2 linked regions of the Lytechinus pictus genome follow. The protein of the gene in region 1 interacts with the protein of each later gene in a biochemical or structural test. Links are inferred from orthologs where the notes say so. Each region holds a gene or a part of one and is shown in the gene's direction. Other genes may lie near its edges.

The links.
Region 2: of the proteins of cell division cycle 7-related protein kinase-like (region 1) and claspin-like, one has a biochemical effect on the other in vitro, tested with the Homo sapiens proteins (3 studies listed by BioGRID, with this or other methods). The link is inferred for Lytechinus pictus from reciprocal best matches to the Homo sapiens genes CDC7 and CLSPN.

Annotation. Positions count from the first base shown.
Region 1 is NC_087259.1:19,797,860-19,813,954, reverse strand, and holds the start of cell division cycle 7-related protein kinase-like, read left to right. Parts: upstream 1-8,026; 5' UTR 8,027-8,111; intron 8,112-11,010; 5' UTR 11,011-11,014; coding exon 11,015-11,183; intron 11,184-13,599; coding exon 13,600-13,686; intron 13,687-15,267; coding exon 15,268-15,403; intron 15,404-16,033; coding exon 16,034-16,095. UniProt on the Homo sapiens protein: Kinase involved in initiation of DNA replication. Phosphorylates critical substrates that regulate the G1/S phase transition and initiation of DNA replication, such as MCM proteins and CLASPIN.
Region 2 is NC_087251.1:29,432,807-29,448,763, reverse strand, and holds the start of claspin-like, read left to right. Parts: upstream 1-8,604; 5' UTR 8,605-8,818; coding exon 8,819-8,848; intron 8,849-10,684; coding exon 10,685-10,853; intron 10,854-12,249; coding exon 12,250-12,779; intron 12,780-13,224; coding exon 13,225-13,297; intron 13,298-13,697; coding exon 13,698-13,809; intron 13,810-15,726; coding exon 15,727-15,957.

The DNA of each region.
Region 1 (16,095 bases):
GAATAATATTTTCTTCTTTCCCACTATACGCTTCTCTTCCTTTCTCCCTCTTTTCTCCTTTTCCCCTTTTCCCCGTTTTTTTTTGGTCAGCCGATGGGGGGGGGGGCACGTGCCCCCCATGTCCCCCCCCCCCGTAGTTACGCCACTGTATGTCCATATGGCAAATACCCCTCCAATATTATTATCTTTTTTACCTCATGATGGTTTAATGGTTTTATTAGAGATTACATTGACATTCCATCTTGATCCCTTCACATAGACCCCGACATTGATGAATTGGAAGAAACGGGAGTTTCTCTTCAATATGTTATAATAAGGACATAAGTATTTCGTTTGGAAATGGTGAACTGGCTCTTTATTTGCATTTTATGATTCAATAATATTGTTTTATTTGTTAAGCGGTATTTCAGGAAGAATTTTCACCAATAAAACAATTATCTCTTGTGATTTTTTTTTCATTTCTTTCGTAAAAAGTGGGGGGGGGGGGATGTTTGTACAGGCCATCCCCCCCTCCTCGAAAAGTGGGGGGATATATCCCCCCATCCCCCCCGGGATTTACGCCAGTGTCCCCATCATTGGCTTGCTTTTGGAATTATTTATCTTAATAGACTGCATTTAATATATCGATCACTTTTCAGCCAATAATGACAATGAAATAAAAATGATTAGTAAAAACGGAAACGTAAAGAAAATCCAATGAAAATTAAAAAGAAATCCTGACCAATTGTTTTTTTTTTATTATTATTATTCATTTTGTTTCTTTACCATGCAGATTTTTTTTGTGTAGGTCCCCAGGACCAAAATCCAATTGAAACCAGTTGGCCTTTCCAACTGGTTTCAATTGGTTTCAATTGGTTTCAACTGGTTTCAATTGGTTTTAACTGGAATATAACAATTTCCAATTGAAACCAATTGAAACCAGTTGGGCAACTGGAAATCCTAACTGGAACCAGTTGGGTAACTGGAAATGACTTCCAACTGGAAATGATTTCTAACTGGAACCAGTTGGGTAACTGGAAATCCTAACTGGAACCAGTTGGGTAACTGGAAATGACTTCTAACTGGAAATGATTTCTGACTGGAACCAGTTGGGTAACTGAAAATCCTAACTGGAACCAGTTGGGTAACTGGAAATGACTTCCAACTGGAAATGATTTCTAACTGGAACCAGTTAAGTAACTGGAAATCCTAACTGGAACCAGTTGGGTAACTGGAAATGACTTCTAACTGGAAATGATTTCTAACTGGAAGTCTGGAACCAGTTGGGTAACTGGAAATCCTAACTGGAACCAGTTGGGTAACTGGAAATGACTTCTAACTGGAAATGATTTCTAACTGGAACCAGTTGGGTAACTGGAAATCCTAACTGGAACCAGTTAGGTAACTGGAAATGACTTCCAACTGGAAATTATTTCTAACTGGAACCAGTTGGGTAACTGGAAATCCTAACTGGAACCAATTGGGTAAATGGAGATGACTTCTAACTGGAAAGGTGATTAACTGGAAATTAATTCTAATTGGATCCTGTTGGGTAACTGGAAATCCTAACTGGATCCAGTTGGGTAACTGGAAATGACTTCCAATTGGTATCCAATTGAAAATTTTCCAGTTACCCAACTGGTTCCAATTGAAACCAGTTAATTTGCATATTATCTGCCAGTGTGCACAGATTAATGTTTTATGTGATTCATCATCATTTAAAATGTATCTATTTAATTTTTTTCTAATTCAAGTACCATACTTGTTTCAGATAAGTGTTTAGAATGCTTAGCAGTGAAAACCATGTTCACAAATGTTATAGATTATAATTAAAACAGATTATAAGATAATCAGTACACCACTAACTGTTACCAAATTACATCAAATACAAATACATATATTTGAAGATCTTTCATATAAATTTTTATACATTAAGAATGTCTATTTTATCAATGCCCTTTACATTGGTATTAATAAACATATAGCACTGCTTCTTTGATGGCATGAGCAATATAGTTAGTGCAAATTCTAATTAATTTGTAACTAATTAAGTCATTCCAACTGGAATTTCCAATTGGATCCAGTTGGAAACCAATTAGTTTCAACTGGTTCCAGTTGAAACCAGTTGCCTCCAATTGGTTTCAACTGGAACCAATTGAAACCAGTTGCCTCCAATTGGATTCAACTGGTTTTAATAGGGAAATTGGAACAACTGGAACCAATTGAAACCAGTTGCCAACTGGTTGCTTAATTGGTTTCAACTGGAACCAATTGAAACCAATTGCCAACTGGTTCCAGTTGCCCAATTGGTTTTAACTGGAACCAGTTGGCAACTGGTTTCAATTGGTTCCAGTTGTTCCAATTTCCCTATTGAAACCAGTTGGCCAACTGGTTTCAATTGGTTTTGCTCTAATTGGTTTCAACTGGATTTTGGTCCTGGGTCCCCCAGGGGGGGGGCACTTCCATATCAACGAGTGGATAGTCGCGGGACCGGGTATCGAAAAGTACCCAAAACAGGTATTTTCCATGTTCTGAAAATGTACCCCTTAACAAGTATCGGGTGTGTGAAACTCTACCCTTTACAAGTATTGGAAACAACCGGTACGCTTGACAAGTATTTCCTTACTTTGTGACCCCCTAAACAAGTAAGCCTACAGCGAAAGTTATTTAACAGCCCCAGCAATCCTTTTTCTATATTATGAGTATTATGTACATTTGAGTTACAATTACATAGGAGAAGCAAACAAACAATTAACATACAATTATCATGATTATGAGTATAGGTTTCCCGGGACCACCTATATCTCCCACAGGACGTACCTAGTATAAGGACACAAACAGGTAGTAATAGTGTACGTATTTTCTTAATTACATGCAACACATGTTAAAGATTGTCACATATAAAATAATTATGAGTTTCTCCGTTAATTTCATAGAAAATAATTGATGATTTGCATATTTTCGTTTCCACAAGTAACTTTTCGTATGTACTATATATTCACATTGAGTAGCAATCACATTGATTTACCTGAATTTAAATAGTTGAAATGTAGGGGGACTGGCCGGGGGAGCCATGTTTTTTTAATTTTTTTAATTTCTTATAACTATTTGAATTTCCTCTATTGTAATGCTGATTGAAATCTAGATGAATTAACGTTATTTCCCTACATTGTACTCATATACCATCATCCTTTTTTCATGTATTCACTTATGATTATTTTGGATGTTCTGTTTGTTATTTCCTTATGTAATTTGTTTGTTTGTTATATTGTAAATAAGTACAAGATGCTGATGGGGCTATACCCTGTATAAATAAAACGAAATGAATAAATAAATGAATAAATAAATAAATAAGTAGTGCTGATGCAAAAAGTACATATCCCCCATATCCTTGGATTATTCAGTCGTTTTATACCCTCGCAAATTGGATCTTCAAAACGTAGCTTTCCTATAAAGAATACCCTTTTTTCATTATTTTACCGGTTTTGACACCCACGTTACGTATACAACGTGCATGCTCTATCTTGAAAAAGATCCCTTTTACGCGATTCTTTGGTCACGGCACGCGTGGTATCCACTCGTCAAAGGAAGTGGGGGCAGGTAGGTCCCATATCCTACCCGCCCCTGTTTCCCTAAACAATAATATTTTCCCGGCGAGTCTATTGTATGCGGCCCAGTGGATTATAGTTTCCGCGGACTAGCTTTGAAACAGAGGGTGGTGACTGATGGTTGGTTCAATCCTATATACGCCACGGTCATTACTTAATTCCTTCAGCAAGAAATTGATAAAATGCTGCGCACTCAACCCAGTTAATCTTTATGTTACTTTATATGACTTTTCAGTACAATCTTATTTGCCAAATTACGATTGAAATTGAAGCAGGAAACTCAAAAAGCTTTCGAGCATCAAAATCGGTAGCCAAACTTAGCCGGAGTATATTATAGGAGCGCCTGGAACTCATATAATAACAAATCAATTAAGGTAGGTATTTGCGGCTATACAAATACCATGTTTTATTATTATCATTATAGCTTCACCTGTTCTAGCCTGGGCGAATTGTATTTCGATACGACCCCCCCCCCCCCCCAATTAAAACATTAAAACACTTTAGGCAAATATGTTGGATTCACAATTGATGCGAGCGCGCAGCGCGCGAGCTGGATTTTTTTTGTATGCAGACAGTTTTTGCAATTATCTCGCTATAAGACAAATAATGAAGACGTATCGCTAGAATAATTTGAACATATTGCCATTTAAACACCTTGAGTAGGCCTGCGATGCGAACTCGAAGAGAGAATAAAACTTTTATAACATACAACTTTTTGTATTTTCCAACTATTCCATCCCCTTCGTTTATTCACCTTTCTTTCTTTTTTTCTCCTCTACTTCGATCATTTCTATTGTATTTGCCCTTTTCCTCTTTCTTTGCGCAAACATGATGAGGAGGGTCGCACGCCGTGTCGCCCCTTTGATCCGCCTATGATATGAAAGTGACTTGGGTACCTTGGATTGCTTGGATATAACTAGCTATTGTCATGATTGTGGTATTCCTACTCACACAAAATAGGTCCTGGAAATTTCTAAATTCACAACAGTATTTCCCTTTAAAAATGCGTTATGGTTTCCTTTGATTCATTATAACCATGAAAACGCTCTTATTTGTTTGATATCAAAGGTATAATGTTTAAAAACATTTTATGCATATGAAAGAGCGGGGAAGTAGAGGGTGCTGTAGCCTTATTCATGATTAATTGGATTTTCGATTTTCAAAAATGAAATACTTGGTCACTCTGAGAACATAAATGTCATAATGACTCTTTATTTATTAAACTCAACTTGAACATAATATATATAGAACAAAATAGTTTGGTCGGTGTCAAATCCAGTGCTACGAAGTCATCTTGTGTTAAGTAAGGTTGTTTAGAAGGAACTAATAGTGAAAAGAACCATATTGTATTTTTAAAGGAAAGATCGTTATTATATGAATTCAGAAATTTCCAGAAACTGTTTTGCGTGAGTATATAGGAAAATGCCGAAGTTCCAAGCAATCCAAGGTACTCGAATCACTTTCAAATCAAGGTATCAAGGTAGTATCAGATATTCAAAATGAAATCAACCAGCTATTTACAAACCACATGCTAAATGCTTTATTTTTATTAAATTTCATACAAAGTCAACATGGAAGTCCCATATGCAATTACATCATCGTTGCTTAGGGATCCGGCACAACGCAACATAACATGAGAACCATATTGCATGATGGATATTAATCAATAAACATTGGTACAAGTTGAATGGTATCGTCTGTGATTCGGAGTATCAATAAAGAACTAAAATGTTCAATTATCAGTTATCAGTAATCACTAATTGTGTCTTGATAAAAACATGCAAATACTTTTCTTTCATTAATTGATAAACCTTAAATACAGATACTTCATGTACTCTCATCCCCTAGGCTATTCTGTATTTATTTCACATGCACCACTTCCGTTTAGGGAGAAAATGATTATAGTCTCGACATCAAAGATTCCAAAGATTCTTTCTGTGTGTAAATATTTATTAATGGAAAATTTGAAGAGAACCTTTTTTTATTTTCACAAAGCACAGGCCTACAATATGTTTTAATTTATAATTTAATCTCCTCTCTTTAAAATGTATAGGTCAAGGTTGAACAATGGGACTGAAAATAATGAATGAAATTAGGAGAAACACAGACAATATACATGTACATTTTAAAAAGTGGTATATGCAAAATATAAAACGACTTATGAATTATTACATACTGATAAAAGCGTGAATTTTAATACAAAAATCTATATTGCATACTAAGCACGTGCGACGACAGACTTAACTAACATTTTTCACATGGCAAGAAAAAAATACTTTCTTAAAGTTTTGTTGTATCAAGTCAATCTGGAATCAAATATATATTAATTAACATGAATAATGTTTTGAATTATATTTTCATCTGTGAATACTAATGACTCTTCTATCACAGATCAAGGAAAAACATTAGATGAAATAAAAGGAACACATGAGAAATGGTAAAAGAAAAACGGGAAAAAATGGAAAAGAAATACATGACGAAAATGCAAATGGGGAACCATATAGCCGGGGGGGGGGCAGTCAAATGTATTGCTGTACACACGCGTGGCCAAATTATTTCCAAACACCCCATAAACGAGTTTTTCTCTGTGTGCAAAATAACACCCTAAACGCGGGATTTATTTACACATTTTGGCCCCTAAACAAGTTGTCGCCAGAATATGACCCCGTGGAAAAAGCTTGGGGGAAAAATACCCTAACAAGTTTTCTTTGAAATTATATGACACATTTTATACATGGAATAACACATTTAATAATGAATACCTTTTCTTTATATTATATAGCAACCTTGAACAAGCAAAGTATCCGAGTGAATTAAACATAAAGTAGCATTGGAATTCAATAAACTAATGGATTTATGGATCATCCCAAATAGCATGACTTCGCGTTTTCTTTTTTCCAATTTAGATTTTTCATACGCGAACACGGCTTGGGGGGGGGGGGGGCATTTAGGCCTATCTGTTCAGACATTTGATTTTCTTTTACTTCATTCAAACCTTTTTTTTACTTAAAAATAAGGTCTGAAGTACCGTGTGCAAAATATTATTTCAAGTCAGCATACAGTCACATACAATTGAATATTCATAATAACGATAACATTTTGAAATTTCACTTATTTTTCACAAAATAGTTATATGCACAATTTACCCACATGCATATGAGAGAATCGATGATGTCCCTCACACACTATTTCTTTTGTTTTTTATTGTTTGAATTATACAATATTTTCTTTTTACAGATTTGACAATAAGGACCAACTTAATTGACTGAACCATATAATGTTAAGCAATGGTAACTCCACATGTTCAGTGAGAACTAAAACTTTATTTCACAGGACAATGAGGAGAAAATTAGAATATTTCATATTTCAAATAATAAAATACAGAAGAAAAAGTGAGTGAGAGATGTCATCAGTTCCCTCATTTGCATACCGACCAGGATGTTCATATTATGTGAAATATTAAGTGAAACTTAAAAATGTCATAACTTTCTTATTTTAAATCCAATTTTGATGAAATTTTCAGTGTTATCCTCGTAGGATTTTTCTCTTTTTAATCAAATCAACTTTTTGTTGGGGTGGACTTGTCCTTTAAGAAGAAAAATATTCTTCAGACATTTTCTCCAATTTATGATTATGGATGGCTAGTCAAAGATTTATTTCTAAATCTTATTTACATTTATGACCCGGGATTTATGATGACTCTCGTTTTGGGGACCAGTTACGTTTCATCAACATTTTCGTTCAACAAGTTTTCAGATCTGAAAAATTTCCTTGATTTTGATTGGCTGAGAATCACTTTTACTATGGTAACTGTCGGATAAAATGGGAAGTTATCGGATAAATCGTCCGACAATTCAAGTCCTTTCATGAAACGCTCCCCTTAACGAGTAGTATGTTGAAAAAAAGACATCGAGCTAATTTAAGAAGAAAAAAACAAGGAGCTCTATTGTACGGGGAGCATATAGACCTACATGTAGTACAACATGTAACAAAATAGACCAACAGATTGGGAAGTGTTTTATGTGAAAAGGTTACACATATGAAATAAACACAAACAATAATGTGATTTGTAGGCCTAATCACTTTTTAATCATTTTGTAATTATTTGTAATTGACTTTGATTTATTTCAATTAAAAACAAAACATCTTATTTCAAAATTCCTTGGTCACTATAGAGATCATGTTGATATTGATATTACAAGTTTCCGAGTAGCGTATGCATTATTTTTTTTAAAGCGATGGGGGGTTCAAGCTGAATGAAATGTTGACAAGCAAAAAAAAAAGTCTTCAAAAAAAAGTGAATGGGGTTGGGTATAGAACAAAATTAAGGGGGGGGGGGTGTTAAACACCTGCGAACGCCACTGCAAGTTTCATTTGACTGGTTATACGAATGAAGTACCGGTAGCTATGAGCGCGCTGAGCTGGCACGCGCGGCGTTACTTCAGCTTCCGGTTTATCAGCGCGGGAAATTCGTTCGGTAGCATTTGGAGAGTCCATTGTGCAGTTTTTGGAAAACCGTCAAACGTAAGTTCAGACCGACCTTCTAAAAATTATAATTGTTTTGTCGTGGCATGTAGTAGTTTATCATTATATTGTTACATTTTTTAAACGGATCGGATCTTGCCACCAAATGAGATGCGAGATCGATGTGTCGACTATCCTTGTGCACTTTCGCATCCATGCGGAGTGTGAGCGGCCCCAGCGCAGCCGCCGTGCCCGCGAGCCCCGGGTTGTGTAGGAGGCCCCAACCTAATTTCTTTGAATGATGCGAAAGTGCACTAGCTTTCTGACTAACTAACGTTCTATTCTAAAATAGATCCATTGTAAATTGGTATGGAGTTGGGGTTTACCTGTGTAGGACTTACCCTCTTTTCAAGTCTAGACAGATGGCAGCCGTCTGTTTTGAGGAGTTTTTAAACATTTTGAATTTTTTTATTTCTCGTACTTTTTTTCGTAGTCCAATTTTGGGTCTGACATGCACTTAGAAAATGTTGCGTGATTTCGAAACCGTGTATCCGGGCATCAACAAATTTGGTCTCAGAAGATGTGCAAGGCTTGACAATAGATGTAGAAAATTATTGCGGTTGTGTGACGAAATTCATCAAGGCCAGGGGGGGGGTCAAATTGACCCCATCCCAAATTAAGTAAGGGTCGAATTTACATGTAACTAGAAAGACAGCATTTAGACCCTATTCATGTACATCTTTTTATTGTTAGAAATGAATTCCTTGTCCAAATTAACATAGAAATTAACACAAAATCATTAAAATAATTTATGCAGAAGCTGAGATATAAAAATTTGACGAAAATGGGTTGGGGTCAACAACCTTTTTGCCCCAAATCGTTATTTTTTTTGGGCGGTACCCCCTCAAGGTTCAACCGATTTTTCAGAAAAAGGTGTAAAAATGCTCAGGAGCACAAGCTGCATCTTTTGAGTTGGTCCTCTCTGTGATCTGAAACATCAACCCACCACTAATAATACATGACAAATGCTGATTTTCGAACCTATATGCCATCCTTTATGTACATTATTGCTCATATCTCAAACTATTGGAATGCCCATCACAAAACTTATGTAGAAGCTTCTTGACATCATAAGGTACCTGTGGGATGAATTTGAGGCAATTTGAAGGATACATTTTTTTTTAAATTCACAATTGAAGTTTATATTTTGTAATAACTGTTTTGTAGTTGGAGGTAGGAAAATGTTGCCCAGACAAATTTATAGGGCATGAAAATACCTTTAAAATGACACCAAAAACCAGCTCTCTAGGTGCTATACATGTACTTTTAGAGATTTGGCCATTTGAATTCGCGATGTTGTGCTAATTAGTCCAAAGTTTGTTAGCTTGTATCTCACTAATTGAGAGGCTGTTAGTGAAAATATTTGAGTTCTAGCCATTTTTCATGAGTCCCAATTGTTTCCCAAAGTTTTACAAAAATCTGAGAGATGACAGCAGATTATTTGATGATTTGACATGGAATGACCCATTTGCCCCATTGGGCATATTAAGTTCATAAGCTTCACGTCAGAAAAAAAGGGGAAAGTGTTGAATTTTACTACAGTAATGCCTTTCAAATTTAAATTAAGAAAAAAAAGTTAATAGGTACAGTACTACTACTTGCCTCTCTTATTCTCTAAAGTAGCAATGCTTTCAAAATTTTGATTTTGAGGTGCTGCTGGGTTTGTTCTCATCCTGGCCATGTGCACTGGGCTATGAGATGTTATCTATCCTCAAGATATGTGCCAAGGAATTGTCTCAAATACCATACAAACAGCAATCCCATTGATGCTGGTAAACTTGAGCAGTGAGCTAAAAACCAAATGGGGGCCTTATTCAGGGTGCTACACAACTAAAGAAGCGCTTGCCTGGTCGGGCAAGTAAATTTTCAAACAGTTGGATTCTTGCCCAAAATCTATTTTACTTGCCCGAAAAAATCCTTGGAAAAAAAAGTTTTACCTCTTCAAAAGAAAGTTTTGTGTTTTTATATTAAAACCATTGACCTTTTTCTCTCTTTTGACATGAACTGATCTACTTTGTTATTGCATTTCTTTTTCCAGAGTGATTTTATCTTGCCTGCCATGACCAAAATTAGAGTTTAAAAAAATCAGTCAATATCATATATCGACCCTAATTTTGGTCATTCTACTGTGAGAGTTTTGCTTTCTACTGTGAATTTTGCTTGCCCAATCCGGGCAAGTAGTTTTGGTCTTTACTTCAAAACACTTGCCCGACTCTAACTTTTACTTGCCCCGGGCAATCGGGCAAGTGCTTATGTAGCACCCTGCTTACATGTATTTACTCTGGGGCCTCAATCAACCCCACTCTCCCCTAAGTGAAGACTACTAGTGTTAGACCTACATGTACATGTACATGTATTCAACCTCAACATATCTCTTATTTTGATCAATAGATCTACATGTTAGTTGGTGCTGGGGGCCATTTCATAAAGCCGTTCGTAAGTTAAGAGTTTACTGTTTAAGAATGTCTGGTGATCATTTCTGGTAAATGATATTCATTATTAAATGTTCATTGGTGATTATTGAGCGCATAAGAAAGGTTCACCAGTTGTTCTTAAAGTCGCTCTTAACTTCCGAACAGCTTTACAAAACACCCACCAGGGGCCCGTTGCAGAAAGAGTTGCGATAAAACGCAACTAAAAAAATCTTGTGCAACTTGATTTTCAGCCAATGAGGCACCCGTATTCGGGACTTGCGCTTGATATTTTGACTTGCGTTTAAACGCAACTCTTTCTGCAACAGGCCCCTGGGGCTGATAAGGAGACTCTCTCTCTAATAATGGAAGACAATCTCTGGTATTGAAGCATGAAGTACATGTAGCAAAAATAAGATAAAACATGAAACAGCCAGGGTCATTGTGATAATATCCAGACTTTTTTTTCCTTGTGGCTTGTTTCACAGCACCATGCTCGGCCGGGAAAATAACTCCAGTTCCACCAGCGCCCTCGATGTTGTCATTGATGCAGGAGAGATTGAGGAGAAAGATTCTGATCTTCGTCCGATGACACCGACAGTTATGGTGACTTGCAAGAAACGGAAGAGATCGTCTTTCAAAGGCCCAATGAGAATGACTGGTAAGCAGTGCTGGCACAATGCAAACAAGTTTCAAGATGATTTGAAGCAAAATCTAATTTATAACATAAGACATAAAAAAATATATAATTATAGCATTTTCAATGTTCATCATAACACTGGTGGTAAGTTGGTGTTTGGATTTTTATGCATGTTTTTTTCTTAAATTTATTTTCAGGTTGTTATGAGTGTGTTTTTAAAAATATTTTTAAGGAGGGGGTGGGGGAGACTGTTATGGATATTACTGGTATATATTTCCATTCCAGTCATACAGTGTACATATAGGTTTAAATCAGCCTAATTTGTCAGTTGTCACTGAAGAGAACCTGATATATCATTGATCGCCTTGTTAATTTCTTGGATGATATTATATAGCCAGTGCAAAATATTTCAAGGATATGAATAATAGGAAAATATTTAAAAAAAAGAAGTGTGGTCTGAAATAATTCTTGATTATATGTGTACACAGATCTAAAGGGAGCCAAGAAGGCCCATTTCATAACAACTTACAATTATTGTAAATACAATAAATATTGACCCCTACGTATAGTCACTGTCCCAAATTCAAACACTTCTCTTCATCAATCTTCATATACCGGTATACCAAGGATGGCTCGGCTGTGGAATTCACTTCCCGCCAACACATTCCCTTTATAAAACATGGACAGATTAAAAAATAGTGTTAATACACATTCATTAACATGTAACTTGATGTAAAACCTTGTACTTTTACTTTAATTATGGTTTATTATGTGGCAGTCATGGGTCACTTTTCATCATTTTATGATGGCAACATCAGGCCCAAAGAACAATCTAAAAAAAACGGACAAAAATGGAAACTATGATTGTGAATGGTTGCTGAGCCATGTTAACATGGAAGTTGCCATATTTGTCAAAACTCTTCATGAAACAGGCCGCAGACCTGCCAACCATTACGTTTTTGGCGTATTTAGTACGTTTTGCAACCAAAATACGGCAGTACGTTTTTTCTTTAAAAAATATGTTTTTGTAAAAATATATATATATATATTTTTTTTTTTACAAAATCATAATTTATTGAGAAAAATTATCTCTATATGTCTCTATTTCATAAAACTTACACAAATATGGTTATTAGATCAATGTAATTTCAGGTAACTTGTTTTTTTGTCAATCATTTTGTTAAAACCAGGGTGAGATATACGCATGTTTAAATTTTTTTTTTCATCTGCAAGAGCAGTGCGCATTTTAGCTTGCATGCAGCTTGAGCGCCGCGATGAGCGACTGCGCCACGCATTTTATTATGAAATACACTTTTTTGGGGAAAAATACACTTTTTTATCATAGAATACAATTTTTTATTCCCAGAGGTTGGCAGGTCTGAGGCCAAGGAAGCCTAGCTGTGTTTCAGCTCAAGCATCCGAATTGTAGCATCTTTGTACATGTTGTTTATTAGCTTATATGGCGCGTATCATTCAGCAGTGAATAGCCAAATATTAAACGTTCATGTACTTAGCCTTTAGACAGGCAATACAGTATGTCTGTTATGTTTATATCAAATGCCTACTACAACTGAAAAAAGACTAATCGCGAAAGGCTGGATAATAATAGGGTATTTATATTGCGCACATATCCACCTTGTTAGTTGCTGAAGGCGCTCCTATATTACCCGGCTAAGCTAGGCGTTCATAGCGCACACAGCTTTTTAAGGAATTACTTCCTACCGGTACCCATTTACCTCACCTGGGTTGAGTGCAGCACATTGTGGATCAGTTTCTTGCTGAAGGAAATTACGCCATGGCTGGGATTCGAACCCACGACCCTCTGTTTCAAAGTCCGAAGACTAATCCACTGGGCCACAACGCTCCACATGAATGCGAGCTCTACCATAGGGCCTTTAGGAACTTGACTTGGATTTCTTATGTTAACCATTGTTTCTGACTCATGGTCGCGACCTAGACTAGAGGTATATATGCGGCCAATCAGCAAGTGTATCTTTCAGATCAATCAATCCTGTAACACAGAAGCGAACGTACCCGGTCCCATGACGTTTTCAGTGCCTACAGTGCTAATTGGCGCATTGATCAGTATGCTCATGGATAATTCATACATTCACATAGATCTACGCCAGAGTCCAAAAGGCCTTGCGACTGAAGTCGCTCAATCGCACATTCACCCATGTCTCTATTAAACTCTCTTCATTGACCGCTAGTCTCGTCTCAGCCACTGCATGACAATAAATATTGCCAAGTCACTGTGAGAAAGCTAATCTGACCAATACAGGTGTGTATTTTGCCATCTTGTTCATATTTAAATATTATAGACATAATTAATTCAATGAATGGAAATATGAATATAATTTAAATGCCTTGAAGTGCTTTATAATGTAGCTGAACCAGAACATGTAATTGAAGTATCTCTTTTTATTTCATATTGTAGAGAAAGTCCGGGAAGACATCCGCTCCATGCTGAAGGCTGTTCCTAAGATTGATGAGTTGTTCACGGTGGTTGATAAAATAGGAGAAGGTAAGCATATATTCCCAGAGATTTTTTTTATTTTTATGTTTATTTATTGAATCATGCAGTACTTAATATGAACCAGAATGAGTCAGGAAAATAATACAGAAAGTGCTCAGGGGAAAACTCACTAATTTGAGGTACATGCACATCTGATCCCCCCCCCCCCACTATTTTGTTTAGGACTACATGTACATACATGTATGTCTCTGTAAGGTTTGGGAGATTGAAAAAAAGATTGCAATCTCAGGACTATCTTATTAGGATTTAGTGCTTGAAATTCATGGTTATAGTTATATCACCTATTCATGTGCCAGTTCAATATCAATTAATATAACAGAGTCAACAACCTTGTTTATTATTTAGTATTATTCACAGGATAAATATTTGTTGCACTGAGGACTTTGGGGGTTTTTGTCTTGATATTTTATCCATTGAAGCATGAGGGTGTCAGGAATTACAAACAAGAAAAAAATCACACTCTTTTTCTACTACAGGGAGTTGATGAGTTTATTTGATTTTTTCCCCCATCATTTTGTATATGTCTCTATAATGTTTGTGAGATTGACAAAACAAACTGTGATCTCCTTTCTCATTAGAAGTTAGTGCTTTAAATTCATGCCAACATCTCCTGTTTAATGTATCAGTCCATTATCAATGAATATAACAGAGTCGACAGCTCATAAACTTAATAGATTAACAAACTTTTGTTGTAATGTCTAACAAATCTGTAGAGATAATGGCAACGGTAAAAATGAAGGCAAAAATACTGAATATATTTTGCAAATCATTATATTGAAATAATTAAAAGATAATCATGGCATGGTGTAGACATGGAAATATGCAAACTTCTCTCCATGATCATTATGTAGCCTTTAGACTTGCAAACAATAGCAAAGACATGCAGGTACATGAATCCTCAACATTGATCATTGCTTATCTTGGAAAGCATGTACGGATTGGACTGTGGACTTAAATATTCATGTCCGTACTTTCAACGAAATGCTTGAGAATATGACATTGAGTTGATAAAGAAGTGATTGTCAGATAGTTCGGTATGGTTCACTGGGCTAAGTGACAGGTGGTCATAACTGTTAAAAGGGTGGGGGAGGGGCTCACTTGCTCATAAAAGATTCCCATTTGTTTTATTTCATTTCTATTACACAAATGTAGCTGTAAAGTGATATTAAAGAGGCTCCTTAGAAAGAAGTGTCCATGTATTGAAATGCTGTATGTTTTATTCCTGCAAGTGAATAGAATTCATTCGCATAACTTGCCAATTTTATCATTCAATAATAAATTGCCATCCCTATAGGTGTGTAGTAGCACATGGTCAGTATATGGTAAAGACTAATTTACAGAGTTTTGTGTTAAAACTTTTCCCTAGAAACTGGGAACTTTGGGGACAGAAAAAAAATGGGGGTGGTACCAAAACGTTATGCTAAAATTGATACATAGCATTTTGCATTTCATATTAGATTCAATAAAATTTACTTTTACACAGGAAGACAGGAATGGGGAGCATTATGAGGGAGTGTTGTAAGTCATCCAATGGAAAACTGGAGTTTCTTATTCCCATTCTTTTTGCAGGTACTTTCAGTTCTGTGTATCGAGCCACTTTGAAGAAGGCTGCTGACACTTCACAGGAGTTTGCTCTGAAGCACATCATCCCAACAAGCCACCCTGATCGTATCCTCAGCGAACTCAGCTGCTTGGTCAAAATAGGGTATGCCATTACAATTAAACTTAACAGATTTATTTTTCTTCGCACGTAGAAAGTTCAGATCCAGTGGCTACGGGAATGGTTTGATTGGACAAAGCTTAGGAGGGCTGAGCCTTTGTATGTAAACAATGGCTTTACCCCACCCCCACTCTTTTTCTGATCACGGAATGTAATTGCGGGTCTTATTAAATATGGAATAATAGTAAGCAAATGATTACCGTTGGTGAAAGTAATAATAAATGTCATATTTTACACAGGGTAGCCACTTCAGTTTTGAAAACTGTTCTCCCAGCGGCACAAGCTATCATTTCCAAGAAGATCTTGGCTTTGTCTTAGATTCTTAGTTAACCTTTTAGCATATTCATATCAATGAAGAAGTTTTAGTGTTTTTCATTCAGTGAAACCACTGCTTTAACTGAATTAATATTGTTAAATTTCAACAAAACTAAGAACTTTAATTTGTCTTGGGTGAATAAAGAAGCAAACAGAACAAAACAAATTGCTAATACTTTATGCTTTTTGTTTAAAGTTTGTTATTTTTATTTTGTCTTGTCTTGGAATACTACAATGATGTATAAAGTTGGCATCCATCAAACTTGATACTAAGTTTCATTTCTTTGCTTTTGAATATAGCGGCTGCCATAATGTGATGGGAGTTAAACTGACAGTGAGGGAGAAAGACAACATTGTCATCG
Region 2 (15,957 bases), on another chromosome or scaffold:
GGTTTTTAAAAAGAATAAACTGTATTATGGTGAAGCCAATTTAAAAGGAGGTGAGGCAAGTTTCAATGGAGGTTTTTAAAAAGAATAAACTGTACTACAAATTATGGTGAAGCCAATTTAAAAGGAGGTGAGGCAAGTTTCAATTGAGGTTTTTAAAAAGAATAAACTGGACTACAAATTTAAAAGGAGGCGAGGCAAGTTTCAATGGAGGTTTTTAAAAAAGAATAAACTGTACTACAAATTATGGTGAAGCCAATTCAAAAGGAGGTGAGGAAAGTTTCAATGGAGGTTTTAAAAAAAGAATAAACTGTACTACAAATTATGGTGAAGCCAATTTAAAAGGAGGTGAGGCAAGTTTCAATGGAGGTTTTTAAAAAAGAATAAACTGTACTACGTACAAGCCAATTCAAAAGGAGGTGAGGCTAGTTTCAATGGAGGTTTAAAAAATAAACTGTATTATGGTGAAGCCAATTTAAAAGGAGGTGAGGCAAGTTTCAATTGAGGTTTTTTAAAAGAATAAACTGTACTACAAATTTGAAAGGAGGTGAGGCAAGTTTCAATGGAGGTTTTTAAAAAGAATAAACTGTACTACAAATTATGGTGAAGCCAGTTTAAAAGGAGGTGAGGCAAGTTTCAATGGAGGTTTTTAAAAAAGAATAAACTGTACTACAAATTTAAAAGGAGGCGACGCAAGTTTCAATAGAGGTTTTTAAAAAGAATAAACTGTACTACAAATTATGGTGAAGCCAGTTTAAAAGGAGGTGAGGCAAGTTTCAATGGAGGTTTTTAAAAAAGAATAAACTGTACTACAAATTTAAAAGGAGGCGACGCAAGTTTCAATAGAGGTTTTTAAAAAGAATAAACTGTATTACAAATTATGGTAAAGGCAATTTGAGAGGAGGTGAGGCATGTCTACAATGATTTTTTTTAAAGAATGATAAGTGTAGAATATAATTCAAATGATGAAGCCATCTTGAGAGGTGCATGAGGCAAGTCTACAATGAGGTTTCTAAAACAATGAATAGTGAAGAAAAAGATCGCAATTGCTTTTAATAATCCACAAAATTGTGTAGTTATTTATTTCATGCAAATTGCTATTAATTGATTATGCTCATTTGTGCATAATTAGTATACTATACCTATTCCTCTAACTCCCTAAATAAAGCTCCAAATGTTCTAATTTTTGGTTTAGAAACTCTTTGTGGTGTTCTTCGATAATGTATTTCTTGTGTTTTTACCTTTGTATTGCATTGTTTTTTTTCAACGATGCTCAGACTCTCGTAACAGCATGAAATAAATCAGTTTAGTTCAACAAAACTAAAAACAATTAGGCATTCATGAATTTTGGTTGAAAACGCATATTCCATTGACGTGGTACACAAATATCACAATTTTGAGCCATTTTTGTCTGATATGCACTTACAAATTGTTTGGTAATTTTCAGAACCCAGTACCCGGGCTTCGCAAAACTGGTCTCAAAACATGCAAAAGACTTTTTTTTTTAAATCGCAGAGCTCAGAGCCCCCCCCCCTGCGTAAATAGGTTAAGTTTGCATTAATTTTGAACTTTTCCATTCCCAAATACGTAATATCCCCTCCCCAAAAATGCAATTGTCACTGAAATGGAATATACATAATATATTTTTTAATAAGCCATATTTGCAAAATAATCATCATGTCATCCTTTGTCAACAAGAAATCTGTACATGTCCTCTGGAAGAAAATAATACCTCGGCCGCCTATTAAATTCTAAGTTTTGATTTTGTAAGTATTTTACTTAGCAATTTGGCTGGCTTATCAAAATGCTTAAACTTGTATGCAGATCAGATCTCAGAATTTACCTTATCCAAATTGAACTAAATACTATTAAATACCCATTGTGATGTTATAAATTTTGAGCCAAATAGTGCCAAATGTGTGAATGTATTTCTGTGCGTATCATTTTTGTATATGTAGACTTAAGTCTAGTAGATGGCTGACTTACATTTAAGCAAAATATTTAGCCAAAAAAAAATGCAATTGAATACCAAAGATGGATAAGTATTTTACTTTTGCAAAATACTGAGTAAAATATACTTGAAATTGTGGCTTTAAGAGTAGCATTGAATACCGGCCCTGTTCCTCATCATCATTATCATCCCACTACCACACCAGTTTCTGCAGCACAAACTTTAACTTTCATAGGTTGAGTCCATTTCAAAGCCAACACTCTCACTTTAACTTTCTTTTTTCTCTTATAACATGACGTCCACACACTGCCAATCACATCCTTACAACACCAACTGTCAGAGGACAACAGAACTGCAGTTACCATAGCATTACCCCCAAAACACCACTCAATTTTGAATTGATCCAAATGAAATATGACTGTGTTGCACAAAAAAAAGCTATGTAGTCATAGTAGATTTTATTGACTTGTACATTCATAAGGCTATGCATATATTTTGAGTAATTGTTGTGTTGTCTTCAGTGATAGTTGGTACCCACTGTGCTTATGGCCAACTTTGGTAAAGGCATACATTGAATAAACTTTTATGTACTGAAAATGATGACAGAATATATTCTAAAAAAATAACATTACAAATGCATGACAGGTAATACAACATATTTCAACATGAACTATTTCACAATTTGCCAACATGACAATAAAAACTAACCTTAAAAAATAGTAGAAGCTGATGTTGGATGGAAAAGAATATTTTTGTCATACAGCTTGAAAGACATTATATATGTATGCACTTAATGGTATCTACATGATCATTAAGTTCTTCTACACAGCTTGATATAATGTTGATTTATTCAGTTTGGCAAGTACTGTTGTGGTTGAGGCAAGGTTAATGGTTTTTCTGAATACTGAACCCCATTTTGTGTAACGAAATGAAATCTACCAGAGTTACATGACAAAGTACAATAGAAGAAAATACCAACAGCTAGGCAAGCTTTTTTACATAAATCTTTTTTTCATATACTCTTTGATATTTTTTCTCAAAACAAATGTGGCCAGCCACCCAAATATCAACAATAAGTTGCCAGGGAAGGTTCGTAGAAAATAAACAAAATAGTAATTCAGTTTTCCAAACGCATATTTAGAATATTGGTTTATCCGAAAAAAAAAAGAAATTTCTTCATACTGTCAAAATGTGAGGTTGTAAAAGTTGAAGACAAAATACAAGACTTTGATATCCGTGTTTTGCTCACTGCTAAGTAGTTGAACTACATATTACACATCGCATGCTTAAGTGAACCCCAAATCTTGTTCTCTTATTTGTTGAAGCTCTCACCAAACTTCTTCTGCATTCAATGAAGTACTAGCGAGGGATATTATTGATCAATATTAACAAGATAAATCATTTTACAGCTTAGGATGTGATCGCTCAAGATCAATGAGAATCTTTAAATCAATGTATTTATTGTTGGTATTGGGGTGGCTGGACACATATAGCAATATATTCTCGCTGTTAGAAAAAACAAGTGACAATTATATTAGTTAACAGCAAGTATTATAAAACCAATTCATGATCATGGAAAGCAACTGCAGCTTGAGTAAATAAAAATATACGCTATAATACAGTTTAAAATACGTTTATTTTCAGTACTGGCAGGCCTAGGATCATGATAAAAGATAATAAAAGTTAGCAAGTACTGTGTGATAACGGCATGCATTCTAATCAAGTTTTTGCACAAACATCTACAAAGACTGTTGAGTGGGCAGCAAAAATGGTCGCAAATTATGTTCAAAATGATATGAGACAGTCTAAAAATACTGAATAAAACACAAAGGTCATATAATCTTGCATCAAATAGTTATCAAAGAAATTTATCAGCCTCAATGCCGATTAATGCTAACAAACAATGTATCATTATTTACACAGGTGATTCTCCATGATTTAACATTAGCAAGTATCGTAGGAATAAGAAACCCTAATTAGTTGAATGGATACAATTAGCCGTTGATGTTTTATGACTAACTAGATGGATTCTCAACTACATGCAGTCAGAATTTATGGCACTGCCTTTGCTAGACCAAGAATATATTATATATTTACATTTTTAACATGACCTTGCTGACAATAGAAATTTGACTAAAAATCTTCACTCACACAAGAGGTAATTTAAAAAAACCTCCATTGAAACTTGCCTCACCTCCTTTTAAACTGGCTTCACCATAATACAGTTTATTCTTTTTAAAAACCTCCATTAAAACTTGCCTCACCTCCTTTTAAACTGGCTTCACCATAATACAGTTTATTCTTTTTAAAAACCTCAATTGAAACTTGCCTCACCTCCTTTTAAATTGGCTTCACCATAATTTGTAGTACAGTTTATTATTTTTTAAAAACCTCCATTGAAACTTGCCTCGCCTCCTTTTAAATTTGTAGTACAGTTTATTCTTTTTAAAAACGTCCATTGAAACTTGCCTCACCTCCTTTCAAATTTGTAGTACAGTTTATTCTTTTAAAAAACCTCAATTGAAACTTGCCTCACCTCCTTTTAAATTGGCTTCACCATAATACAGTTTATTTTTTAAAACCTCCATTGAAACTTGCCTCACCTCCTTTTAAATTGGCTTCACCATAATACAGTTTATTCTTTTTTAAAACCTCCATTGAAACTTGTCTCACCTCCTTTTAAATTGGCTTCACCATAATACAGTTTATTCTTTTTAAAAACCTCCATTGAAACTTGCCTCACTTCCTTTTAAATTGGCTTCACCATAATTCTTAGTACAGTTTATTGTCTCACCTGCATAGCAGAGTGAGACTATAGGCGCCGCTTTTCCGACGGCGACGGCGGCGGCGACGGCGGCGGCGGCGGCGGCGTCAACACCAAATCTTAACCTGAGGTTAAGTTTTTGAAATGACAGCATAACTTAGAAAGTGTATGGACCTAGTTCATGAAACTCGGCCATAAGGTTAGTCAAGTATTACTGAACATCCTGCCTGAGTTTCATGTCACATGACCAAGGTCAAAGGTCATTTAGGGTCAATGAACTTAGACCATGTTGGGGGAATCAACATCAAAATCTTAACCTAAGGTTAAGTTTTTGAAATGTCATCATAACTTAGAAAATATATGGACCTAGTTCATGAAACTTATACATAAGGTTAATCAAGTATCACTGAACATCCTGCATGAGTTTCACGTCACATGACCAAGGTCAAAGGTCATTTAGGGTCAATGAACTTTGGCCGAATTGGGGGTATCTGTTGAATTACCATCATAACTTTGAAAGTTTATGGATCTGATTCATGAAACTTGGACATAATAGTAATCAAGTATTACTGAACATCCTGTGCAAGTTTCAGGTCACATGATCAAGGTCAAAGGTCATTTAGGGTCAATGAACTTTGGCCAAATTGGGGTATTTGTTGAATTACAGCCATAAATTTGAAAGTGTGTTGGTCTAGTTCATAAAACTTGGACATAATAGTAATCAAGTATCACTGAACATCCTGTGCGAGTTTCAGGTCACTTGATCAAGGTCAAAGGTCATGTAAGGTCAAAGAACTTTGGCCACGTTGGGGGTATTTGTTGAATTGCCATCATATCTCTATAAGTGTATTGGTCTAGTTCATAAAACGTGGAAATAAGAGTAACCAAGTATCACTGAACATCTTGTGCGAGTTATAGTAGTTTTCAAAATCAGCACTGCTGCTATATTGAATCGCGTGATGCAGGTGAGACGGCCAGAGGCATTCCACTTGTTCTTTTTAAAAACCTCCATTAAAACTTGCCTCACCTCCTTTTAAATTGGCTTCACCATAATTTGTAGTACAGTTTATTCTTTTTAAAAACCTCTATTGAAACTTGCGTCGCCTCCTTTTAAATTTGTAGTACAGTTTATTCTTTAAAAAAACCTCCATTGAAACTTGCCTCACCTCTAGCTTTTAAACTGGCTTCACCATAATACAGTTTATTCTTTTTAAAAACCTCCATTAAAACTTGCCTCACCTCCTTTTAAACTGGCTTCACCATAATACAGTTTATTCTTTTTAAAAACCTCAATTGAAACTTGCCTCACCTCCTTTTAAATTGGCTTCACCATAATACAGTTTATTCTTTTTTAAAACCTCCATTGAAACTTGTCTCACCTCCTTTTAAATTGGCTTCACCATAACTTGTAATACAGTTTATTCTTTTCAAAAACCTCCATTGAGGCTTGCCTCACTTCTTTTAAATTGGCTTCACCATAACTTGTAATACAGTTTATTCTTTTTAAAAACCTCCATTGAAACTTGCCTCACCTCCTTTCAAATTTGTAGTACAGTTTATTCTTTTAAAAAACCTCAATTGAAACTTGCCTCACCTCCTTTTAAATTGGCTTCACCATAATACAGTATATTTTTTTAAACCTCCATTGAAACTAGCCTCACCTCCTTTTAAATTGGCTTTATGCATAATTTGTAGTACAGTTTATTCTTTTTTTAAAACCTCCATTAAAACTTGCCTCACCTCCTTTTAAATTGGCTTCACCATAATTTGTAGTACAGTTTATTCTTTTTAAAAACCTCTATTGAAACTTGCGTCGCCTCCTTTTAAATTTGTAGTACAGTTTATTCTTTTAAAAAACCTCCATTGAAACTTGCCTCACCTCCTTTTAAACTGGCTTCACCATAATACAGTTTATTCTTTTTAAAAACCTCCATTGAAACTTGCCTCACCTCCTTTTAAACTGGCTTCACCATAATACAGTTTATTCTTTTTAAAAACCTCCATTAAAACTTGCCTCACCTCCTTTTAAACTGGCTTCACCATAATACAGTTTATTCTTTTTAAAAACCTCAATTGAAACTTGCCTCACCTCCTTTTAAATTGGCTTCACCATAATACAGTTTATTCTTTTTTAAAACCTCCATTGAAACTTGTCTCACCTCCTTTTAAATTGGCTTCACCATAACTTGTAATACAGTTTATTCTTTTCAAAAACCTCCATTGAGGCTTGCCTCACCTCCTTTTAAATTGGCTTCACCATAACTTGTAATACAGTTTATTCTTTTTAAAAACCTCCATTGAAACTTGCCTCACCTCCTTTCAAATTTGTAGTACAGTACGTTTATTCTTTTAAAAAACCTCAATTGAAACTAATTGCCTCACCTCCTTTTAAATTGGCTTCACCATAATACAGTATATTTTTTTAAACCTCCATTGAAACTAGCCTCACCTCCTTTTGAATTGGCTTCACCATAATTTGTAGTACAGTTTATTCTTTTTTAAAAACCTCCATTGAAACTTGCCTCACCTCCTTTTAAATTGGCTTCATGCATAATTTGTAGTACAGTTTATTCTTTTTTAAAACCTCCATTGAAACTTGCCTCACCTCCTTTTGAATTGGCTTCACCATAATTGTAGTACAGTTTATTCTTTTTTAAAAACCTCCATTGAAACGTTGCTAGCTCGCCTCCTTTTAAATTTGTAGTACAGTTTATTCTTTTTAAAAACCTCAATTGAAACTTGCCTCACCTCCTTTTAAATTGGCTTCACCATAATTTGTAGTACAGTTTATTCTTTTTAAAAACCTCCATTGAAACTTGCCTCACCTCCTTTTAAATTGGCTTCACCATAATACAGTTTATTCTTTTTAAAAACCTCCATTAAAACTTGCCTCACCTCCTTTTAAACTGGCTTCACCATAATACAGTTTATTCTTTTTAAAAACCTCCATTGAAACTTGTCTCACCTCCTTTTAAATTGGCTTCACCATAATATATATTCAGGTAAGGTATATTCATTCTTTTTTTAAAAAAACATCATTGTTCACTTCCCTCACCTAGATCATTTGGGTATATATAATACCTTTTATTCTACACTATTCTTCCCTTAAAAAAAACCTGATTGTACTCCTGCCTCCCCTGATCTGACATTTGCCTCTCAACGTATACTGGAAATAGATACCCTTTTTTCAATATTTTTGTGTTTTTGACACCCTTATCACGTTACGTACGTAACGTGCCCTCTCTTGAAAAAGACATCCTTTTTACGTGTTTTTTTTGGTCGCGCATGGTATCCACTCGTCAATGTAAGTGGCACCCCCGGGCGTACTGTACATAGTGTTATTTTATTATCTCTTTGTATCGGAAACTTCGTTTTACCGAATTGCCATGCACTCTCTCCGACGCGTTTGAAGTCTTAGACAGCATGGCATACTACCAGCCGATGGTACACACACGCACACACACACACGTTATTTGACAACTTGTCTCTGGAGCCAAAGTTCCTCGCATATAACTATCTGCATGCCTGCACGCAGTGTGTATTGAACACGCACGACCACGATCTAATGAATATTCATCGGCGAGACTGACGTCATTTTACGAGTCTCCTTTCAAACTTGGATCATAAGTGCCTACCACTTTTTCAGGGCTTGCGGACTGACTGTTCATTCAGACTTTTATGGTCGAGATTAGCGTAACGTTCGTAATGATTCAATTCTTTTTAATTTTGATAGATGAAACAACCCAAATATACAAATCATTTAGGTAAGAAATAAAATAAGGCAATTTTTTTTATTACAATAAATACCGGTAATATTTCATTTCAAGTTTTTTTTTGCCCGTTTTGGGGTTTTTTGTTTTTGCTTGAGTAATATAATACTCATCCACGTCACACTGTCATACCGTAATTGAATCAAGACTACCGTAAATATTGCGCGCGCAGAATTCAGATATGGAGCGCGAAAACATGAAATAAATTGTACGACAAAAACCCATCCGACTGCGTGACATTTTCCTTTTTCAATATTTCTACTGCAGTTAAAGTCATTGGAATTCCTTAAGCTTAAAAAGGTTATTCTTCAAGCTAATCTACTCAACAAACTCGCCATGCTCGGTGTAGAATCAGCTCCAATACGGGTGAGTGAAAAGGCGTTGAAAAAATTTGTGGCTGCAGGGCTTTAGGCTAGCGAAAGCTGCTGTTGTTGTGTGCCGTACCGTCCCCGTTCGTTTCGAGGCGGGCGGGCCTGAGCTGTGTACGAGTGTTCATGCCAGGCGCAGTGCAGAGTGTGTTTGGGCTGAGCTGCATTAACCGGTGGCGGTAGCCTGGAGGCGTCTGGCCTCTGGGGAGTAAAAGTCATCTACTCTACGTAGGCTTACTCCCCACTGACGCCTGGGACACCAAGGTATATTCACGCATGTACGGCCACAAAACCTGAAACTTTCGCCACCGAGATTTCTACTTTCCCTCTAGCCTAATTAAAGATCTAACGTTAGCCCTAAGGCCTAACTGTTAAAACATGTACTGTAGATGTACATGGGGTTCAACTTCAAAGTTCAATTCATTTCCAACATTTCTGCGATATCGATTTCGTTTTTTAAGAAAAATTCATTAAAAAAATGAGAAAAATGTTATGAAAAGATGGGAAGAGCTAACGCTGGCCGTGTTTACGTCACCATCTTGATTTCTAAATCTTTGTCTTCCGCTTGGCGACAGCACGATTTGCGTGCTGTCGCCAAGCGGAAGACAAAGAAATCAAGATGGCGATGTAAACACGGCCGTAAGCTCTTCCCATCTTTTCATAACATTTTTCTCGTTTTTTTAATGAATTCTTCTTTAAAAACAAAATCGATATCGCAGAAATGAAGTTGAACCCTACATGTTTTAGGGCTAGATCTTTTAGAGGGAAAGTAGAAATCTCGGGGGCGAAAGTTTCAGGTTTTGTTTCCGTACGTGCGTGAATATACCTTGGTGTCCCAGGCGTCAGTGGGGAGTAAGCCTACGTAGAGTAAGATGACTTTTACTCCCCAGACGCCTCCAGGCTAGGTGGCGGTGCGTGTTCGCGATCGCTGATATATTATATATACGGTATATAGGCCTATATATATTTTGCCAAACTCAAGATTTTATATATCAACGTTAGATCTATGAAGTTAGATCTAAATTTTACTTTTGCTACATGTATGTTGAGAATAAATTTTAGTAGGCCGTAAAAATCAGAACTCAGACTGAGACACAAATTATACCGAGGTTTTTTACCTGACTGCTAAGAAAGCACGTCGAAAACCTGTGAGCAAGCAACCAGGGGACCAACGGCTTAAGGTCCTCTCCGAGGGACCTGGTAATGAGGATAAATGCCTTACCAAAGGGCACTAGCGCACCACTTGGCCGGTGCGAACCCAGGTCACCGGAATCCGAAACCCCCGCTCTACCGACTGAGCTATAGTTCAGCTCTCAGAAGCTCAAAGTTTGGATTTTAGTGTGTTCCAGTTCTGAAAAGACACAAATCAATTTTCATGTAAAATCACAAACTTCATATCATTTACATCATGATTCACACAATAAAGTAATGAATTTAAATACTACAGTGGGAGGCTTTACCAAAACTTGGAGTAGACTTTGTTCACATATTTGGAGTGTTAAATTATGATCTTGCATGATTGAAGCACAATATTCCATTGGTTTTATTTCAAAGGCAATATTTTTTAGTGATACTGTAATCATTACTTTGTAGAAGAAATGAGGAAACCTGACCACAAGACAGGTACATAGTTTATTTATTATTTATCAATACAAGAGTGAAGACCATACTCTACACAAGCTAGACATTCTTGTCTACTTAACACAAGATTCCATGGTGAACACTGGATGTGCATAGACATAGCAATCAATGTCATGTCCATGTCTTGTGATATTTCAGAGAACTAAGCAGAAGGATTTGAAATTTTCTCATTCCTATCTATCTTCTGATGTAGGCACCAGACCCTCTGATAAACTCTGACCTGTTTGATGCAGATGATGATGAAAGTGATGAGGAGGAGATAGTCAGAATGAAAGCCAGACAGAAGGGACCCACTAAAACTCATCGGCTTATCCTGAGTGATGATGAAGATGAAGAGAGAATACCAAGTATTTTAGATCAAGGTAAATGCTTGAACCCATTTGGCTACATGAACTTGGTTAAAGTTAAAACAAGCACAGTTGCAGCTAAACAACACCGGTATTTTGATGAGAAAGTCTCTACATTCCAAGGTTTATTTTAAGTGTACCGTCATACATCTAGTTCTACGAACTAAACATAGTGATACAAATGCCTGCACACTATGTACATGTACTTGTGGTAACATGCTTATTTTGTTCATTTGATAATAAACACAGCATTTATTATGCACCATCTATCTAGTAAACTATTCCGAGGCACATTTCTCAGCAATTATGCATTCTTACAAGAATCCTTTAGCCCTTGATTTTCACATTACATACTTGGGTGGCCATTTTTTTATTCTGTTCTAACTCATTTTAAGATCATGACCATAAGGCTTTTAAGTTAGATTATTAAAGATAAAAGTTACATTTTCTGATATTAAATCAATACAAAATGCAACATTACAAAACAGTTGTTTTGAACATTATTTTGTAGTATTAATTTATTCAGGGATACTTCAAATTTTGTGTCTATACAGAAAAATGAGACTTTCCTACTATTTAACCCTAAAAGGACTGGGGGGCCATGATGGCCCCTCCCTTGATGCTTCGCGCAATATTTCTGAAATGCAAAAAGGTAGCGCTGCAATGTTTTATGACTTTTTTTGTTGAAGTCTCGCGCACCTTTTGAGACCAAATTCGCGTCCTACGGGTTACGAGACAATGTCAGGCCGAAAATGGCTCATTTTTATACTTTGTGTACAAAGTCTATGGGAGATGAAATTCATAAAAGGGTGATTATTTTTCATTCTAATTGGTCTGCCTTATTAATTTAGTTGTTAAATTGTGTGTAATAATTTCCATTGAAAAAAACAATGAAAAAAAGATGAAAAAACAAAGAAATACATAAGAAATTCCAAAAACAAAGAAATACATATGGAAAAAATTGGCTTTTGCAATTTTTCTTTGTGGAAACCTTTAACTTTGTTTACAAAGATGACATCTGGAAAAAAAAGAAAATTTGAAGTGAAATTGGGTGTTAAATATGCAAATAATGGTTTTCACGAATAAATTTACATATTTTATTCATAATAGATAAAAATAATTATTTTCAGAATTTTTCTTTTATACTGGCTTGTAGTTTATGCAGTAAAGAATGTGCGTGCCAAATTTCTGCGCGATCGCGCAAAAGGCGGCCGAGATCAGAAGGGTGGCCATCATGGCCCCCCCCAGCCCTCAATACGTCTCAAATAGCCCAGTCCTTTTAGGGTTAAGGTCCCAAAAGGAGGTTATTTAACAATGATTATACACGAAAGACTAACGCAAACTTCTGTATCTTTAATCAGCACTTCCACTGGAAGTAATAACTATTTGTGCTGTTCTGATTGTTTTGCAGGAGATTTAGGGTCTGACAGTGAAAAAGAAGAAAGTGAAGCAAGTGATCAGGAAGCAGATGCTGATCAAATGGAGGGTAGACAACAAGATGACAGTGATAATGAATCGGACAATGACAAGCGCAAAGAAAAGAAGAAGATTCGTAGACGAGTACAAAGTAGTGATGAGAACGATAGCCAGAGTGATGATGATGAAGAGGATAAACCCAAACGAAAAAAGAATATTCGTCGCTCTGTAGGGAGTAGCGACGATAGTGATGGTCTGAGCAGTGATGATGATAAACCAAAAGAAAAGAAGAAGATTCGAAGGCATGTACAAAGCAGTGGTGAAAGCGATGAAGGAAGTGATAGCAGTAACGATGACTCTGATGATGATGGTGAACAAAAAACGCAGAAAGAAAGAAAGAAAAGCGGAAGGACTATAGGAAGCAGTGATGATAGCAGTAGTGACGAGGATGAGGAAGGAGAAATTGCTTTCCAATTAACACCACCGCCTCAAGATCCAGAAGAAGAGTCTAATGGGGATAAGAGGGTAAGGTTTTTATCTCAAGGCTCCACCCACCAGAGGTGGTTGCAATAGGCATGTTATGTAGTATTATGGTATAATAGTTATGTAGTATTATAATTAATATTGTAACATTCTATTTCTAATTACAATATTATGTTTCGAGATTTTACGTCTCGGTTTCAAATGTATAGATCTAGCCAAATATAGAAATGGATATTGGGATTTGGAAGAAACATTAAAAAATGAAATCACTTTCACAATCTTAGCTTATAATGGTGGCACAATTTTTTGAAGTGGAATCACATTATAAATGTCTTAATATTTACATTCACTCTAAATACATAGCAATGGTGTTTTGGTCAGATTCTTAAATTTGTTACATATCTCAATATTCTATTCTCGATACACTTAGATATATGTTGCATGATACACAGTTGATAATTATACATTTTAATTGTTTTGATTTCAGTCTATGAGGAGGAAACGAATCGGCAAGGATGAACTACAGCAGATCCATAGTGAATCTCAAAGAATTGTCAGAGGTAAGTTCATATATCACCACTAATTAACTTTCCAATCCAGTCAAAATGTCAAGTTTAAGCTTATTGGTTATCATTCCAATGTTTCATAAAACTGTCAATTGCAGATAATAGCTACTGTGATAATCTTCTGAATTCTGCCTTTTTATTGGCAGAGAGCAAACTTACCATGGAATTATAGAATTTGTTTATCAATGATAAGCGAAGTGTTCTGTTTCATAGAGCTTGTTATCAATAACAAATGCAAACTCATTCATGACCAATTTGCCAACAGCTGATCAAATCCAACCAATCGAGGAGTTTTCAATACCATAATTCTAATGTTGTTGATAACAGAAGATTTATAAAAACTGGACCCTCGAATAACAAAGTATTTGATATACCGGTATTGATTTTTACACAGAGTCTACAATACAGATTCCATATCATCACCCCAAACCTCTGAGCTTGGATGAATTGTTCAACAAGAAGCCAAGTCTTACTTCATTGAAACCCACTGGATGTAGAGTCCCAAGGTATGTGGTTATTAATCTTCCTGTTTTATGGTCTATTTTGATATCTAGATCTGCCCTAAAGCAAGGAAATATTTTCTTATACTCTCAGTATTTGAGATAAAAAATCTTAGATAAATCAAATAATGTAAAATAACAGAACAAAATGTAAATAACACTCCATCACGCAAACTTTATTATCAATAATTTGTTCATGTAGGGCAGGGGTTCTCTAACTACGGCCCTCGGGCCGGATCCGGCCCACGGAACTTCTCAATCCGGCCCGCGAGACTCTGGGTTTTTTAATCCCTTTTAAGTCACACTATGAAACATAGCTCAATATGATTACATTGTGTATCAATGTAGACCTAACCGTATAATGGCAGTCAAAAAGTTTAGTGGAGTCTTTTCTGTCTGTTCGATCTACTTATTAGTTGACCAGCGCTGTTCTCACCATGTTGAATGAACCATGTTGAATGAACATTATAAAGAACTAACTCATACCTTGACAGGCTAGGGCCGCGGAACGGTTTTCAAAGTGGGGGGGGGGGGGGTTGGCCATGCAAAAAATCACAATCATATGGTAATTTTTACGTTTTTGTACATGGTTTTGGAAAAAAGTGGGGGGCTGCCCCCCCCCCCCCCCCCCCCCCCGCCCCTGCTTGACCAGTGAACATTTGCACCAGTGCCTTCGTCTGGCAATTACACCTTTTGTGCCAAGGTTCAAGCAACTTGTTGCTGACAGACTGTCACTTTCCCCATATTGAAAGTGACTAGGAGACTATCCTTGTTAGTCTACAAAAGACATGCTCTATTATTCCTTCTACTTTGACTACCAAAAAATATTGATACTTCAAGACATTATCTGTGACCCCAATACCAGGTATGTATAGATACAATCTAGATTCCTTTTAACAAAGAACTACAATTTTGTTATCATTTATATTGAATCTCGCTGTATTTTGAAATCTTTTCTAATTTTACCTGCGTTCCATATGAAACTGTTATAAATTTGTTGGATTAGATGCTCTCAAAATAAGGGCCAGATTGCACAAGAGAGCATCTAGGACCCTGACTGCAAGGGTTTTTGAGCTTCGTGCACATTCTTTTCTAAGTATCCACTTCACCCTGGCCCTTTCAGGTTTACAAGGAGTCTCATCTGGCCCTTCAAAGAAAAAGTTTGAGAACCCCTGATGTAGGGCTTCTGGAGAGCATTTCATGAAAGGACTTGTCTGACGTTTTATCCAACAGTTACCCGTACCATATTAAAAGTAATTCTCACCCAAACAGAATTAAGAAAAGTCTGACAACTTGTTAGATGAAAGTGTAGATGATATACTCCCCTGATCTTCAGGTTAATGATGACTTACATGTATGATGCTTCGAGAGCAAAGCATGTGGTTAAACTTAATGTGCAAAACAGAGTCGAGGAAGGATGATGAGAGAGAGAGAGTGAGGGGGGTGGGTGCAGAGAAAAGGGAATAAAGAGATAAATGTAAGAGGGAGAGGAAGAGTGCAAAATAAAGATATGTAGGCCTATAGATGTATATAATCCCATTCTCGCACGGTACCGTTAGTGGCATCTCGCCATCAACGACACAGTGATGAAGCCACCAGTTGGAGGTGAAATGTGAAATATTTTTTCTTGATTTTTTAGAAAAAATAACATTCTTTAAGAATTGTGGTTAGATTTGCAATATCATAACATACCTAAATGTTAAGATTTTAATAAGTTTTTTAATCTGCCCCTAAAGTTTTAAACTGTGTTGTCAAATTTTGGTAGAATGTCTGTGTTGATTTTAAAGTGAATTTGCTCATGAATTGAATGAACCCAAATGTTAAGGTATATATATGAGGTTTTGAATATGGCAGTCACATTTTGACCAACATTTATTGCACCAAGTGTTTTATGATTGCAATGCTTTATTTGATATTGAACAGAATTCGTGGGAAAGAGTTATTGAACACCTCAACAGAGGAAGAAAGTACAGTAAAAAAAGTTCACACAGAAGAAATTGATGACCTTCCGGATCTTTTAACATCACAAGTGCAAGATAATACTGAAAACAAACTCCATTGTGAAGAGAGTTCTGAGAGCTCTTCCATGGAGACTACGGCAGAAGCCAAAGCAGGTGAAACTGATAAGGTTGATACTGATAATGCAGTGGAAAC